2 linked regions of the Anolis sagrei genome follow. The protein of the gene in region 1 binds, or shares a complex with, the protein of each later gene. Links are inferred from orthologs where the notes say so. Each region holds a gene or a part of one and is shown on either strand. Other genes may lie near its edges. The genes, in order: RRS1 and RPF2.

Region 1 (8,530 bases):
TGGACAACTGTGCAGGCATTTAACTCCTCCTGGAGGTTTTATTTGGTGCCATCTTTGCCTCATTAAGATGATTGAAACCTTCAGAAATGACATTTATTTTGCTCTTTTTGCATGACCTAATAAAGGTACCACCACAGCATGGACTTTAGATTTTATTTTATGGCTCTATCTGCTTTGCTTCCCCTTCTCCCCCCCCCCCCCCAAAAGAGCAAGCTTACCTTAATGGCCACAGGAAAAAGCACATAAATCTGAGAACATTATGTCATTGGGTGCTAGTGTACACTTACAGTGTTCTCCAAGAAAGTATCACTTGTCAAAGGTTTTCATGGTTGGAATCACTACGTTGCTGTGAGTTTTCTGGGCTGAATGGCCATGTTCCAAAAGCATTCCGGAATGTTTCTGGAACATGGTCACACAGCCTCGAAAACTCACAGCAACCCAAAAGATGACTTGTTGTACTATGTATGAAGTCTGGGATTACTTGATTTCTCCTGTATTTGCATTATCTGTATTACAATATCCATATTTTATGGGAGACGCACTTTAATTGCCAACGACAGAGGTCACTTCAAATCTTATAAAAGACAAAGCAAAAATAAATAAATAAAAGGATTTTATTTTGAAGAGTTTGGCACTTAATATCCCAATAATAAAAAATAGAGAATTATTGACATCTCCAGAAAAATGAAAAAGACCAGATCTTTACAATTCTTCCTCAAAGATTTACAGACTAATACTGCCTTCAAATAATAGGCACACGGTAATAATGACAAGCACACTGTGGTAATGAGTTTTCATTTTGGTAAACGAAAACACCCTCGGGCCCTTTTATCAAGACTTGAGTCTATTTCAGTCTGAGTCATTGCTATTACCCATCTTGGAGGGACAAGTTGCTTATCTCCCCTTTAATCAGGTTCACGCAAGTGTGGGCAAATTTGGGCCCTCTTGAGTGTTTTGGACTTCGATTTCCACCATTCCTCGCAGCCTCAGGGAGAAAAGGAGTCTGGGGTTGTTAGGAATGGTGGGAATCAAAGTCCAAAACACTCAAGAGGGCCCAAGCTTGCCCATGCCTGTCTTACAGGTTCAAGACCGCAAGAAGGCACATCACAACATCACGGGACACTGTCTTTATTATGTTCCGAAAACCGAAAGCCACTGTTTTCTTATTTTGGGAGCAAAAGTACATGTGCCAGCTTCCACTTCTTCCTCCTGGCCTTCCTTCCTCCTATATAGGAAGCAAACTTCCTCCTGAATTATGATAACTGGACCAAGGATCTGCTACTTTGGAGGCATCATTGTGACTCATTGGGAAATAAAAGTAGGACTTCAGGGGAAAGACAAAAGCTATAGGTGCATCTACACCAGGCCTGGGGAAACTGGGAATCCTGGGAGTTTGGTGACTCTATGGAAGGCATAGGCTAACTTGGGTCCTCTGTTTTGGTTTAAGTGGCTGAGCGGGAAAAGGAAGGAGCCTGAGGCTGTTAGGAATGGTGGGAGTCAAAGTCCAAAACACACGAAGGACCCAAGTTTGCCCAGGAATAGTGGAAGCTGAAGTTCAAAACACCTGGAAGTTTGCCCATGGCTGTGCTATAGGTTCAGGACTGCAAGAAGGCACATCACAACATCCCAGGACACTGGCATGGACAAACTTGAGTCCTCCAAATTTTGGCTGGAGGAAGGGGCCTAAGGTTGTTAGAAATGGTGGGAGTTGAAGTCCAAAACCCCTGGAGGGTCCACGTTTGCCCAGAAATGGTGGGAGCTGAAGTCCAAAACACCCGGAAGTTCGCCCATGCCTATTCTACAGGTTCAAGACTGCAAGAAGGTGCATCACAACATCCCAGGACATTGGCATGGGCAAACTTGGGTCCTCCGGGTGTTTTGGCTTAAGCAACTGAGAGGGGAAAGAAAGGGGCCTAAGGCTGTTAGGGATGGTGGGAGTCGAAGTCCAAAACACATGGAGGACCCAAGTTTGCTCAAGAATGGTGGGAGCTGAAGTCCAAAACACCTGGAAGTTTGCCCATGGCTGTGCTATAGGTTCAGGACTGCAAGAAGGCACATCACAACATCCCAGGACACTGGCATGGACAAACTTGACTCTTCCAAATTTTGGTTGGAGGAAGGGGCCTAAGGCTGTTAGGAATGGTGGGAGTTGAAGTTCAAAACCCCTGGAGGGTCCACGTTTGCCCAGGAATGGTGGGAGCTGAAGTCCAAAACACCTGGGACTTTGCCCATACCCATTCTACAGGTTCAAGACTGCAAGAAGGTGCATCATAACATCCCAAGACAGTGGCATGGGCAAACTTGGGTCCTCCAGGTGTTTGGGCTTAATGACTGAGAGGGAAAAGGAAGGGGCCTAAGGCTGTTAGGAATTGTGGGAGTCGAAGTCCAAAACACATGGAGGACCCAAGTTTGCTCAAAAATGGTGGCCGCTGAAATCTAAAACACCTGGAAGTTTCCCCATTCCTATCCAACAGGTTCAAGACTGCAAGAAGGTAAATCACAACATCCCAGGACACTGGCATGGGCAAACTTGGATCCTCCAGGTGTTTGGGCTTAAGCGACTAAGAGGGAAAAAGGAAGGGGCCTAAGGCTGTTAGGAATGGTGGGAGTCGAAGTCCAAAACACATGGAGGACCCAAGTTTGCTCAAGAATGGTAGGTGCTTAAGTCGAAAACACCTGAAAGTTTGCCCATGCCTATTCAACAGGTTCAAGACTGCAAGGAGGTGAATCACAACATCCCAGGACACTGTCTTTATTGTGGTCAGAAAACCCAAGGCCACTGTTTTCCTATTTTGAGAGCAAAAGTACATGTGCGGGCTTTCACTTCTTCCTCCTGGCCTTCCCACCGCCGCCTCCTCCTCCTCTTCCTGCGGCCTTCTTGCCCTTGGGGCCCCGAGGCCTCTGCTGCTGCTTGCTGGCCCTCTTCCCGCGCTGGCCCTTCTTCTTCCCCTTCCCTCCTCCTCGGGCCTTGGCCTCCTCGTCCTCCTCCCGGAGCTGCTTCCCGACAGCGCGGGCGATGTTAATGAGGGGCTTCTTGCTGCCCAGGCTTTTGGCCAGCTCCAGGTGGCGGGCCTTCTCTGCTTGGAGGTCCCCGAGCAGGGGCTGGAAGTGCCTCTTCCTCCCGGGGCTGCGCTGAGGCGCGTGGGGGTCCTCGCGGGGCAGGCGGGGCTGGAAGCGGCCCTTGGAGGCGGTGGCGGCGCGGGCGAGGGTGGCGGCGCGGGCGAGCTCGGCCTTGTCCTGCCTGCCCGTGGGGTGCATCTCCGCCTTGTGGGCGCGGGCCAGGTTGCGGAGGCGGTTGAGCTCGTTGCGGGCCACGCGCTCGCGCTTCTCGCTCCTGCTGCGCGCGTAGGGGTCCTCGGAAGGGTCAGCCGAGTCGGGCACCTCCATCATCCAGGGCTCCTTGCCCCCCGCGCGCTGGTAGCCCCACCGCCGGCGCCACTCCTTGGCCTGCTCGTCCCAGACCAGAGAGCCGCGCTTCTTCCTGTTGGGCCGGATCCCCTTGAGGCGGGCGAACTGCTCCCACCGCGTGAGGGGCTTGGCCTTGGGCAGGGGCTTCTCGCGGGGCAGGCGCGTGGCGGGCTCCGGCAGGCGCGCCACCACGGGGCCCGCGCCGCCTTCCGACCGCTCCGAGGGCAGCGCCCACAGGTGGGCCGCCAGCAGCTGCGCGTTGTCGCGCGCCAGGCACCGCAGGGCCGCCTCGCGCTCAGACTCCGCGGCTTTCCCCGACGCCACGGCGCGCGGGGCAGGGTTCCTGTCCAGCGCCAGCAGGTTGCCCGCGTCGAACTCCAGCTCCAGCTCCTTCTGCACCGTCACGCCCCGACGCCGATGCTCGTCCGCCTCGCGCTCCTCCGCGCGCGCCAGCAGATCCTCCACGGACACCGTCGCCGCGCCGGCAGCCGCCATCTTGGATCTCCCTCTCCGCACGCTAGGAGCTATCAGGCTCTACTTCCGGTGCGTCACCGGATGTACCTTCTCAAGCGAGATTCCCCCAATGCACAGCCCACTTTGTAAAAACTACAGTTCCCAGCATGCATCTCTCTGCTAGGGTAGGTTCTCACGGGAGGGGGATGTTGTGGAGCACTGAGATTATGTTTGCTGCACCAGCCCGTTATATATTTATTTATTTGCGGCATTTATATTTATTATCTACATACACACATTCAATATATTATATTATTAGCATAGCACAATATCAGTATTATACGTATATTACTATTTTGTACAATACCATTATATTGTAATATTATTAGTAATATTACATGTAATATTAAATATATATTATATTATTGTATTATTATTAGTTTTGTATTGCATCACATAATATTATAAATATTATACACATATACAATTTGTTTATTTATTTATTTGGGGTGCTTCTACCCCGCCCTTCTCAACCCCCTAGGGGGGACTCAGGGCGGCTTACACAAGGCACAATTTGATGCCTAACAATTACAACATACAATACAATATACAACACACAAATTTACCATATAAAATCACAGTTATAACTAATTAAAACAATTGACAGTATACTAGCAGCAATAAAAACATCTTGTGGTCAATGTTCACCAAATCCAAGTCCGTAAACCATTTAGCATCGTCATTGTCCTTTCCTACTCTGGTCATTATTGGTTGTCTTTGTCCATTTGCCAGCTTACCTGAAGGCCTGGTCCCACATCCAGGTTTTTAGCTTCCTTCTGAAGGAGAGGAGGGATGTTGATGTCCTAATTTCCCCGGGGAGTGCATTCCACAGGCGAGGGGCCACCACCGAGAAGGCCCTGTCCCTCGTCCCCACCAGTCTTGCTTGTGATAAAGGTGGGGCCGAGAGCAGGGCCTCCTCAGCAGATCTTAACTCCGAGGTGGGACGTAGAAGGAGATATGTTTGGACAGGTACGCTGGGCCGGAGCCGTAAAGGGTTTTGTAGGTCAAAAGCAGCACTTTGAATTGTGCTCGGAACTGGATCGGCAGCCAGTGGAGCTGACAGAGCAGGGGGGTGGTGTGCTCCCTGTATGACGCTCCGGTGAGTAATCTGGCCACCCCCCGTTGGACTAATTGAAGTTTCTGAACAGTCTTCAAAGGCAACCCCACGTAGAGTGCGTTGCAGTAATCTAATTGGGATGTGGACCACTGTGGCCAGATCCGGCTTCCCAAGGTACGGGCGCAACTGGCGCACAAGTTTTAATTGTGCAAAAGCTCTCCCGACCACCGCTGAGACCTGGGGTTCCAGGCTCAGCGATGAGTCCAGGATCACTCCCAAGCTGCGAACCTGCGTCTTCAGGGGGAATGTAACCCCGTCTAACACAGGCTGTAACCCTATGCCCTGTTCGGCCTTGAATGTCTTCAAAAAGAGGCTGGACAGCTACCTGCAAGAGATCCATGTGGTTGGACCTGATGGCCCATATGGTTCCTCCTAACTATTATTCCTTGATTGAATCAATTCACGGCTGGTGGATTTCTTCATTGTACTATAATATAATAATGATATGCTAATAATATATCCCTCCTCCCTCTGACTTCCTCTCACATATTTATACATGGCTATCATGTCTCCTCTCAGCCTTCTCTTCTTCAGGCTAAACATGCCCAGCTCTTTAAGCCGCCCCTCATAGGGCTTGTTCTCCAGACCCTTGATCATTTTAGTCGCCCTCCTCTGGACACATTCCAGCTTGTCAACATCTCCCTTCAATTGTAGTGCCCAGAACTGGACACAGTATTCCAAGTGTGCTCTGACCAAGGCACAACAGAGGGATAGCATGACTTCCCTGGATCTAGACACTATACTCCTATGGATGCAGGTCAAAATCCCGTTGGCTTTTTGTCCCACCGCAAACGTTTCGTCTTAAAGAGCTGTGCATGTTTAATATATTGTGGAAACGTCAGGAGAGAATGCTTCTGGAATATGGCCATACAGCCCGAAAAACTTACACCAATCCACTGGGCATATTTAATCTACAGAAGGGAAGGCCGAGAGGAAACATGAGGGCCATGTATCAAGATGTGAGAGGAAGTCATAGGGAGGAGGAAGCAGGCGTGTTTTTTGCTGCTCTGGAGACTAGTGCCCCTTCCACACAGCTGAGTAAAAATCCCACACTATCCACTTTGAACTGGGATATATGGTAGTGTGGACTCAGATAACCCAGTTCAAAGCAGATCGGTAAAGGTAAAAGTTTTCCCTGACATTGTCTAGTCGTGCCAGGCTCTGGAGGTTGGTGCTAATTTCCATGTCTAAGCTGAAGAGCCAGTGTTGCCCATAAACACCTCCAAGGTCATGTGGCCAGCATGACTGCATGGAGTTCCATTACCTTCCCACTGGAGCAGTACCTATTTGCATGTTTTCGAACTGCTAGGTTGGCAGAAGCTGGGGCTAACAGCGGGAGCTCATCCCATTCCCTGGATTTGAACCAGCAACCTTTTGGTCAGCAAGTTCAGCAGCTCAGTGGTTTAATCCACTGCTCCACCAGGGGCGCCACAAAGCAGATATTGTAGGTTATTCTGTGTTGATATTCTGTGTTATATTGCTGTGTGGAAGGACCCTAGGACACGGAACAATGGCTCCAAACTACAGGAAAGGAGATTCCACCTGAACATGAGGAAGAACTTCCTAACTGTGAGAGCTGTTCAGAAGTGGAACTTTCTGCTCCAGAGTGTGGTAGAATCTCTTTCTTTGGGAGCTTTTAAGCAGAGGCTGGATGGTTATCTGTCAGGAGTTATTTGAATGCGATTTTCCTGCTTCTTGGCAGGGGTTGGACTGGATGGCCCATGAGGTCTCTTCCAACTATGATTCTATTTTATCTAGTCCATGAGGTGTTTGGGATTTTGACTCCCAGAAGTCACAGCTGCCTTTGGCCAATGTCAGAGTTTCTGGGAGTGGAAGTCCCAATAGTCTGGATAGAGCAGAGTTTGGGAAACCCTGGAACCTCAATCAGAGGCTGATGCCGGATGAGAAACTCCCTCCTGGGCACACAGAAGACTGGGCAGTTTGGCAGGTGCTGAACAGGCTGTGGTCTGGCACCACGAGATGCAGAGCTAACCTTTAGAAATGGGGCTTCAAAGCTGAGTCCACAACATATGACATGCAAACCACAGACCACCTACTACAATGCAGTCTGAGCCCTGCCATATGCACAACATAGGACCTTCTTACAGTGACACCAGAGGCACTCAAAGTGTCCAGCTTCTGGTCAAAGGAAATTTAGCATAATGCCAAGTTTTAAACTTTGTTAGCAGTTTTTTAAAATAAATTATAAGTATAACACTGATTAACATTAATACAGATGGATCACTGTGGCTGAGTGCTTAGGGAAACCTGGGAGTTGTACTTTTACAAGCTCTTCTGCCTTCTTTGATGTATGCTGTGGATTACAGTTTGATAACTGCCGTGACTCAGTTCTGAAGAATCCTGACCAAGAGTGTTATGCCTTACCAAACTACAACTCCCAGTATTCCCATAGCATCGAGCCCTGGCACTTTAAAATTATGTCAACCTTCATTAATTCTGCAGTATAAAAGCAACACTTGTGGTTCAATTTTTTTTAAAAAGTTTCTTTGTGATGACAGTTTACATTTTTGAAAAAGTTTCCTTTGTGTTTATAGTTTGTTTTATTTTTTGGTTTTGAAAGAAAAATAAGTTATGTGACTTTATCATCTGGATTGACATGTGAATGCCTATGGTACTTGGAATTTTGACTATTATAATTCCAGGTTCTAAAAAACCTTTGACCACTCAAATGAAATGTTTTGGGCAACACTCAGAATTGATAAGAAACACTCTTTATTTTTCTAGATGAAGTACTGTAGTGTTCTAGATGAAGTACTGTACCCAGAAACCATCACATTTGCAGTGTATTTGGAGGATGCTATCACAGCATTTATATACATTGAAGCTGTATATACTACATATATAACATTTAGTAAATACAATATTTTAAAGAACCTGGTTTCCCCTAAAAGTCAAAGCTGAAGTGTGACTGCATGGACTGCGTTTTTTCTGTCAATCCAACTCTTTTGTAAATGTGATTTCAAACAGATTTTATTTTGATAATACAAGAAATAATAATGTATTGTAGATCAAATACCATAGTTGCAACTTTGCATTTTAAAATCAGTTCTTAATAAAAGTTTCTCATATTTAAAGTTTGTTTTTGCAACAGTATTCTTTAATGACCACAAGATGGTACTGTGCTTGGAGAATTCATTTTTTCCCTTGCTTGATGTGTCATGTTTTCAACTAGAATTCAACTAAGTATTAAGAAGAATTAAGGTGCATCTACACCAGAATTATTGCAGTTTGACACCACTTTAACTGCCATGGCTCAATATTGGGGATCACGAGAATTATAGTTTTACAAGGCCTTTAGTCTTTTCTGCCACATTGTGCTGGTACTTCACAAAACTACAGCTCTCAGATTTCCATTGCATTGAACAGTTATGTAGTGTCAAACTGCATTCATTCTACAATGTAGATGCAGCCCTAGTTAGCAGATTGCCTTCTGCAGTGCTGGTAGTTATACAGTATATTCCCTGCAATGTG
Region 2 (8,480 bases), on another chromosome or scaffold:
ATGAAGCCAACCATAAAAGGGGGTAGAACTTTCAGCAAGTTTAGGAGATTTCTATGGCATGCATAAAAAATCTCCTAAACTTTCGTAGACGACCTGATTCTGGGTCGGGGTTTCGTACGTAGCAGAGCAGCTCCCTCGCTGCGATCTATTGAAAGTCAGCCCTCTTATTGGATGAATAATACAACAAATGAGGAAAAAAAACCCATGAGCTGCTCCAATCAAAACGTGGAGTCAACAGAGAAATCCCCACTTAGTAACACTTGTAGAAAGTCTTCCATCCATATGTGTTAGAGTTTATTTATGTAAAGAAAGCTAGAAAAGAAGCAACTGGTTCAGCAAGGGCTGTTTATGCTCTGCCCCTCAGAAGATATGTATTGAAGGGAATCTGGGAAATTAAAGGCAAGGAGGCAGTTACTGAGATACTGGTTGGATTTGAGTCCATAAAAGTTTATCAGATCCTGAGAGTATATCCGTTGACACCTCCCCTTTGAATCCCCCCTACCCATTTCCAGAATGAAATCTGCTCTTTAAAGCCTCTGATCACTTTGGAGACAATAATACATAGAGGAAAAGCACTTCCAGATCAGCACAGTATCTTTCAACATAAAACAGGAAAATGTGCAAAGCAAGAAGACAGGTAGAGCTAGACAATCACACTTTATGAAAATGCTGGGATAGGAGAAAATATAGAACTCAGAGGCGTGTTTATTAAAGAGTTATGTGGTGTCTGTTGGGAAAAGGGAAATCAAACATTCTGAATACAGCTCTTGGGAGCTTAAAACGTGGATGAAGTCCAGAGACACATTTTTAAGTGATATATTAATACACTGTGTGGGATCAGCATAATTATCTGTTATAGAACTTTATATTTTCTACTCTATATGTTTTCACTTAATATTGATAAGGAGGATTCAGTCAAGCATTACTACATTGAACCCCAATATAGTGGTCATCCTGAAGGCCAGCCACCACATCTATGGGGAGATCCTAAGGATAAGAGGAAAAGGCGAGCGATAGGTGCCCAAAGATTGGAATTCAGAGTGGATGACTTCCATCTTTTTCTCACATACACACTGTTTGGAAGTTATGTGAACCACAACAGACCATGGGGGCTGAAAATTGGCCTTTGGACTTTTACTCTGTCCAGTTGTCATTTAGACTATCCTGAAATGAGATGAAACTAAGGTGCAGGGTTATGCAATAGGAAACATTGCCCTTTTCTTCTGTGTTTTGCCCCTTTTCAACACAACAGGAAAGGATATACCACAATTGTTCTTAAGATCTAAGCTGTTGAGTTCAAGCAGTCAGGACTCTGCTGGCTTCCCAGCTGTCCGTTAATTTACATGCATTTGGTCCTTGTTTTTCTACCCTTCAGGTTAGCAAAATAGCTAACACAAAAAGTATATATATTAAAAACAACATCTCATAGGACTGAAGGGTTTTGACTTATCCCACAGTTATGTACATTCTTTGACGTTACCAACAGGCTTCTAACATTGACTAGTCCAACAAGGCTGAAGTTACTTTAGTGCAGGAGTGCAACTTGAGAAGTTATAGACTGGAACTACCATGATTCTTAACAATGTTCCCATACTTACCTATTTTTAACTGCTGTTTTGTCTTTATAGTATGCCCAAGACAAAATAGTTTCAGAATTTTCTAAAACATGCTGGATGAGTTAATTAATAAATACAGTCACTCCACCAATTTTGTTTTTTATCCTATATTTTGTTTCTAGTATCTCTCTCCCTTTTCCCTCTGTCCTTGAACAAATTCTTCAAAGACAGGCTCCAATATGAAGCAGCTGAACAAAAATGAATAAAGTGATTTACATTACCTCTCAGTTAGTTTGATAAACCTGTTTGTTTGTCCTTCTTCCTTTTCTGTTTTGGCTAAATGCCGTACCCAACCACACAAGTATATCATAATAAGCCCACTGAAACTACCATCCATGCCTCTAATTAATTGGGCCATGGTACATCAAAGGTTATGCCGTATGAAAGATCTTGAAGGTGCCACACTGAAAACTGAGATGGCCCCTACACCTCCAAGAATTGTAAAGAGGAGGTAATTTCAGCAGGCATTACATCAGAACTTTCTAAAAAATTCACATTGGTGACACACCATTTTTAGACATGGAGCACTCTCTAGCCTTTAAGCCAGTGACACTACCTGCTACCTGTTTTTGTTATTTTGGGGGGTCCCAAGTGCCCTAAAACACTTGTGAATGGATACCACCCCTAATTTAAGAGCACCCAAACTCCCTGCCCCTCTGAGGCTGGATTTACTCTGCCATATAATCAAGATTATTTGATCTGAACTATGTGGGGCTGGATCTACACTGCCCTATATTGCAGGATCTGGTCCCAGGTTATCTGATTTGAACTGGATTATATGAGTCGCTGCCAGATAGTCTGGGACAAGAAAATGATCTAAGGCCTCTGAGTTATGTAAGTTCACACTGCCACACATTCCGGTTCAAAGATGATATTTTGCAATTTTCTGCCTTGATATTCTGAGTTATATGGCTGTGTGGAAAGGCTCTGAGGCCCCTTCCACACAGTTGAACAAAATCCCACAGTACCTGCTCTGAACTGGGTTATATTGTTGTCGAATATGCCCCCCACCCCCAATAAAAGATAGTTTATAATTTGGGAATTCATAGTTTTGCCAAGGACATCAGGCTGGAATGATAAAAGTTAAGTTTTGGCAAATTTGCAAAAGGACTAATAACCACAACATGTTAGATGGTGTGTACATTTAATCAAGATTTATGCCCTATATTTCACATATTTAAAACAAAAGGTAACTGCTATATTTACTGGAAACCCTGTCACAAAAAGCCAATTTTTCCCAATCCTGCATGCTCCCCTTTTCCTTTATGAACTCTATATATGCCCTACATCCCCAATTATTATATGTATGTCTGTATAAAATATCAAGCAAGGTGACCTCTTCATGAACTATGACCAGTATCTCAGGACTCAGGTATTGCAGAATTGTTGTTGTTGTTGTTGTTGTTGTTGTTGTTATTATTATTTACGATACTTATATACCTGGAAATTTCCTGGGTCTTCAACCAAGTTTGGGAGGGGTGGTGTTGAATGCTCTCATTAAGGAGGCCAGACTTGGTGGAGGTGGTTGACAGGGGCTGTAGGCTATTGAAGGCTGCTCTGCCCTCTGCTGTGCTCTTTGCTTCAGTGTGAGCTAGGAGGCAGGTTTCAACCCCTCCCCCCCCCCCCCCGAATTTTTTTTCTGGCTACGGCCCTGCCAGCCTCTGCCTTGGCAGGGCCCCCTAAAATCGTGCTCTGCATCAATATGGCAGTGTGGACTTAGATAACCCAGTTCAAAACAGATATTGTGGGATTTCCTGATATTCCGGGTTATATGGTCGAGTGAAAGGGCCCTGGGATCAGATTCTGGCATATAAGGTCCAGCCTGAGTCTACATTCCCATATAATCCAGTTCAAAGCACATGATCTGAATGTATATGGCACTGTAGAAGGGGCCTCATTTGGGGTCCTTCCACACAGCCCTACACTGCAGAATATCAAGGCAGGAAATCCCACAAGATCTGAGTGTGGACTCAGATAACCCAGTTCAAAGGAGATATTGTGGGATTTTCTGCTTTGATATTCTGGGATATAGGGCTGTGTGGAAGGGCCCTATGTTATCTAAGTCCACACTGCCACACATTCCAGTTCAAAGCAGATATTGTGGGATTTTCTACTTTGATATTCTGGGATATATGGCTGTGTGGAATGTCCCTATGTTATCTAATGTTATTATTTTTATTGTTTTGTATTACTTCTTGTTATTATTTTTATTATTGATGTATTGTGGGCTCGGCCTCATGTAAGCCGCACCGAGACCCTTGGGGAGATGGTAGCGGGGAATAAATAAAGTATTATTATTATTGGGTTGTTGTAGGTCTTTTTGGGCTATATGGCCATGGTCTAGAGACATTCTCTCCTGACGTTTCGCCTGCATCTATGGCAAGCATCCTCAGAGGTAGTGAGGTCTGTTGGAACTAGGAAAAGGGAGTTTATATATCTGTGGAATAACCAGGGTGGGACAAAGGACTCTTGTCTGCTGGAGCTAGGTGTGACTGTTTTAACTGACACCTTGATTAGCATATAATGGCTTGACCATGGCCATATAGCCTGAAAAACCTACAACAACCCCATTATTATTATTATTATTATTATTATTATTATTATTATTATTAGAGTCCACAGTGCCATACATTCCAGTTCAAAGCAGATATTGTGCAATGTTGTGCCTTGATATTCTGTGATATAGGGCTGTGTGCTTTTCTCTTGTTTTCTGTCACATTGTTTACCAGCCAATTTCATAGATGTCTACTTAAGAGATAAGTCCCACGGAGTTTAACAGGACTTGCTTCCAGGTAATTATGCTCTTAATACCTGATGGAAGGCTTACTGTAAGCATCCTTCGAATGTCAATTCAATACCGGAAGTGTTGATAAGTCTACTTCGAACTCTACTCTATGACGTGTTCGTCTCCATAGCCCCGCATTTTTTCTAGAGGTAAAAAGTGACCATTTTCAACCGATAGTTCAGGTTTCCTTTCGGATGCCGCCTTGTTTGGAAAAGGAGAGTCTGAACTGTGCTGAACAGAAGTGCGGTGCTATCTTAACAGAGACCCTTTCTTGGAGTCCAGATTGGACTCTCGGATGTGGATACAGTTTACGATATAGAGGCAGGAGTGTAAATGTGTTGCAAAGGGGGGGAGGGGGTTAGAATCCAAGTTGCGAGGAGCTGAGATTTTCCTATCTCTACGTTCACGTTCCGGATGTGACGACACAAAAAGCTACATTTCCGGAGTACTTGTTTAATGGTCCCACGTGGAGGCAGCAGAAGTTTCAGGCATGGAGGCGTTGGATCGAGTAGAGTGAGTCTCACCGTTGCTTGTGTAGGCCTGGTCAAACTTGGGCCCTCTCTCCAGGTGTTTTGGACTCCAACTCCCATCATTCCTAACAGCCTCAGGCCCCTTCCTTTTCCCCCTCAGCCGCTTAAGCTGAGGGGGAAAAGCGGCTTAAGCCGCTTAAGCGGCTGAGGGGGAAAAGGAAGGGGCCTGAGGCTGTTAGGAATGATGGGAGTTGGAGTCCAAAACACCTGGAGAGAGGGCCCAAGTTTGACCAGGCCTGTGCTTGTGTCACATTGAACTTTGGGTTGTTTGTTTACTTTAAATTTAGTTATTTCATGTATTTATATGCTGTCTTTAAAATAGGACTCGAGTCTGCTTCCAGAGATATATGTATGTCATAATAAATTGTGGCAAGTTCTTGGTGGTATGGGCATCCCAAATCACCTTGTCTTTCTCCTGAGGAATCTGTATAAGGAGCAAGTAGCAAGAGTAAGAACTGACCCTGGAACAACAGACTGGTTCAAGATTGGGAAAGGCGTACGGCAGAGTTGTATACTCTCACACAACCTATTCAACTTGTATGCAGAATACATCATACAATATGCAGGGGTTGATAAATACAAGGCTGGGGTGAAAATTGCTGGAAGAAACATTAACAACCTTAGATATGCAGATGATACCACTTTGATAGCCGAAAGCGAGGAGGAGCTGAGGAGCCTTCTAATCAAGGTGAAAGAAGAAAGCGCAAAAGCTGGGTTGCAGTTAAACATAAAAAAAAACAAGATTGTGGCAACCAGATTGATTGATAACTGGCAAATGGAAGGAGAAAACGTGGAGGCAGTGACAGACATTGTATTTCTAGTTGGAAAGATTACTGCAGACGCAGACTGCAGCCAGGAAATCAGAAGACACTTATTTCTTGGGAGGAGAGCAATGACTAATCTCGATAAAATAGTAAAGAGTAGAGACATCACACTGGCAACAAAGATCCGCATAGGTAAAGCAATGATATTCACCGTAGTCACCTATGGATGTGAGAGCTGGACCTTAGGGAAGGCTGAGCGAAGGAAGACAGATGCTTTTGAACTGTGGTGCTGGAGGAAAGTTCTGAGAGTGCCTTGGACCGCAAGAAGATCCAACCAGTCCATACTTCAGGAAATAAACCCCTACTGCTCATTGGAGGGAAGGATATTAGAGACAAAGATGAAGTACTTTGGCCACATCATGAGAAGTCAGGAAAGCTTAGAGAAGACATTGATACTGGGGAAAATGGAAGGAAAAAGGAAGAGGGGCCAACCAAGGGCAAGATGGATGAATGGGGTCCTTGAAGTGACTAGCTTGACCTTGAAGGAGCTGGGGGTGGTGACAGCTGACAGGGAGCTCTGGCGTGGGCTGGTCATAGAATCAAAGAGTTGGAAGAGACCTCATGGGCCATCCAGTCCAACCCCCTGCCAAGAAGCAGGAATATTGTATTCAAATCACCCCTGACAGATGGCCATCCAGCCTCTGTTTAACCATGAGGTCCATGAGGTCACGAAGAGTTGGAAGTGACTGAACAAATGAACAACCACAACATATACATACATCCAGATATGTGCTTGCTTTCAAGTTGCTTATCCACTTGTGGAAGCCCCATTCATTTCATGGGGTTTTCTTAGGCAGAATATTCAGAAGAATATCCCTTCCTCTGAAACACAGCCCTACAGCAGTCTTCGGTGGTCTCCCATCCAAGGCTGAGCCCTGCTTAACTTCCAAAATCTATCGCCTTTAGTATGCCAGCTGTTGACCGAGGGATGAATTTGTTTTGTGAGCCACCCCAAAACCAGCGTTTTTGGAATAGTTATATGAAAAATAGTTATATTTTTGTGAAAATAACCATGATGAAGGTAACTGGAAGGGACAAACACATCTACAAGGAACATTAGCCAAAATGTCAGTCAGGTTGCAAACTGCCTTTGGTGTCGATTAGGAGAAAAACTGGTCAATAGGTAAAGATAAAGGTTTTCCCTTGACATTAAGGGCAGTCGTGTCCGACTCTGGGGGTTGATGCTCATCTCCATTTCTAAGCCGAAGAGCCGGCATTGTCTGTAGACACCTCCAAGGTCATGTGGTCAGCATGACTGCATGGAGCACTGTTACCTTCCCGTGGGAGCAGTCAATACAGAAGTAAATGAAAACAGGCAGTCCCCAGGTTACAAACAAGACAGGTTCTGTAGGTTTGTTCTTAAGTTGAATCTGTGTCTAAATCAGAACAAGCAATTTTTAAAAAGTGTAATTCCAGCCATTTTTTTAAGTTTTGGAAAGGATAGGGAAGGGTTAATACCCCTGTGGTGTTTGCTTTGCTGTCTTGCTACTGTTGGAAAGTTTTCATCTCACTTTTTGTCCCTGTGATAATTGGATTTTGAAAAATGTGGTTTGTTTTGGAAACAAGGATTGGTGAGAAAGCTTCAGTGGAGACACCTTTTCCCCATGACAACTCTTCCAGGAGTGGATTTCCTTCCGAGGGGTAGATTTCTTCCACTTCCTGTTGTCTCACCTCTGTTCTCAATGTTTGTAACTCAAGGACTGACTGTAAGTACATTCAAATACTTGGTGAAAGTTAACATTGTGACAATAATATTCTCATGGCAGAAAACCCAAAACCAAGAGGGCAAAAAGGTTTCTTGAAAAAAGGGAGCCAAAGCTGACAGAAAATACCAAGAATGCTATGCTCATAAAAGGTGGAAATGCAAATACAACCATCACCGAAGTACTAAAAGACATTGTAAGTATGTTTGGGAATATTTGTGGAGCTGGGGCTATGTTCTGTTGTGTTACATAGAAAGGTGATTTAAAGTACTGATTCTCAAACTTTAGCCCCCTAGAGCACTGTTTCTTAAGGTTGGGACTGTGGGTCCCAACCTTAAATAGCGTCCCCTTAGCTAATTGCTGGGGTCACGAAAAATTTTGAAACAGTGAAAGGTTTCTCCAGTCATTTACACAAATCTGTTAGCAACTACATGCACTGTTTTACAATGGACTCTGCAGAAAATGCTTTGGCTGTATTCCACAAAAAAAAGAAAAATCAGCCTGTTTAGCAAGCCTTGCAAATGGTGGTCTCTTTTCAATATATGTTTGATTTTTATACCTATTTAATATACTTATATATCTGGGGTCTTTTAAACTTATACACTTATATAATTGGGCCCTTTTAAAATATTGAGCGAACATGCATTCTATATTGGTGGGAATTGTTCTGGATCAAAGAGGAGGAATTCTGATTGATGGGAATAATTCAGCAAATCTGGGAGAAGTTGTAAAGTTTATAGTCATTGGCCCCTGTGGTGAATGTTAACTGGTTTAACTAGGAAAATTCAAGATGCACTTCTGAGGCATTGGATGTTTTATACCTTGCCTATTTGCAGCAGAAATTTCAATTGCTGTCTGTTTTGAGGGAGCAAAACAGGACTAGCACTTTTTGCTGGCATGCAAATCTATTACCATGTATTTAAAGAGAATAGATTTATTTATATATTTACAATATTTCTATCCCACCTTTCTCAAGTCAGAAGGCTATTCAAGGCGGCTTACAAATTGGCAACATGTACAAT

The links.
Region 2: RRS1 (region 1) and RPF2 share a complex: the UniProt entries of both Homo sapiens proteins name them as parts of the hexameric 5S RNP precursor complex. The link is inferred for Anolis sagrei from reciprocal best matches to the Homo sapiens genes RRS1 and RPF2.

Annotation. Positions count from the first base shown.
Region 1 is NC_090024.1:45,534,404-45,542,933, forward strand, and holds RRS1 (ribosome biogenesis regulatory protein homolog), read right to left. Parts: upstream 3,965-8,530; 5' UTR 3,904-3,964; coding exon 2,821-3,903; 3' UTR 597-2,820; downstream 1-596. UniProt on the Homo sapiens protein: Involved in ribosomal large subunit assembly. May regulate the localization of the 5S RNP/5S ribonucleoprotein particle to the nucleolus.
Region 2 is NC_090021.1:93,051,716-93,060,195, reverse strand, and holds the start of RPF2 (ribosome production factor 2 homolog), read left to right. Parts: upstream 1-4,812; 5' UTR 4,813-4,857; coding exon of another isoform or gene 4,858-4,891; coding exon 4,892-4,914; intron 4,915-7,521; coding exon 7,522-7,654; intron 7,655-8,480. UniProt on the Homo sapiens protein: Involved in ribosomal large subunit assembly. May regulate the localization of the 5S RNP/5S ribonucleoprotein particle to the nucleolus.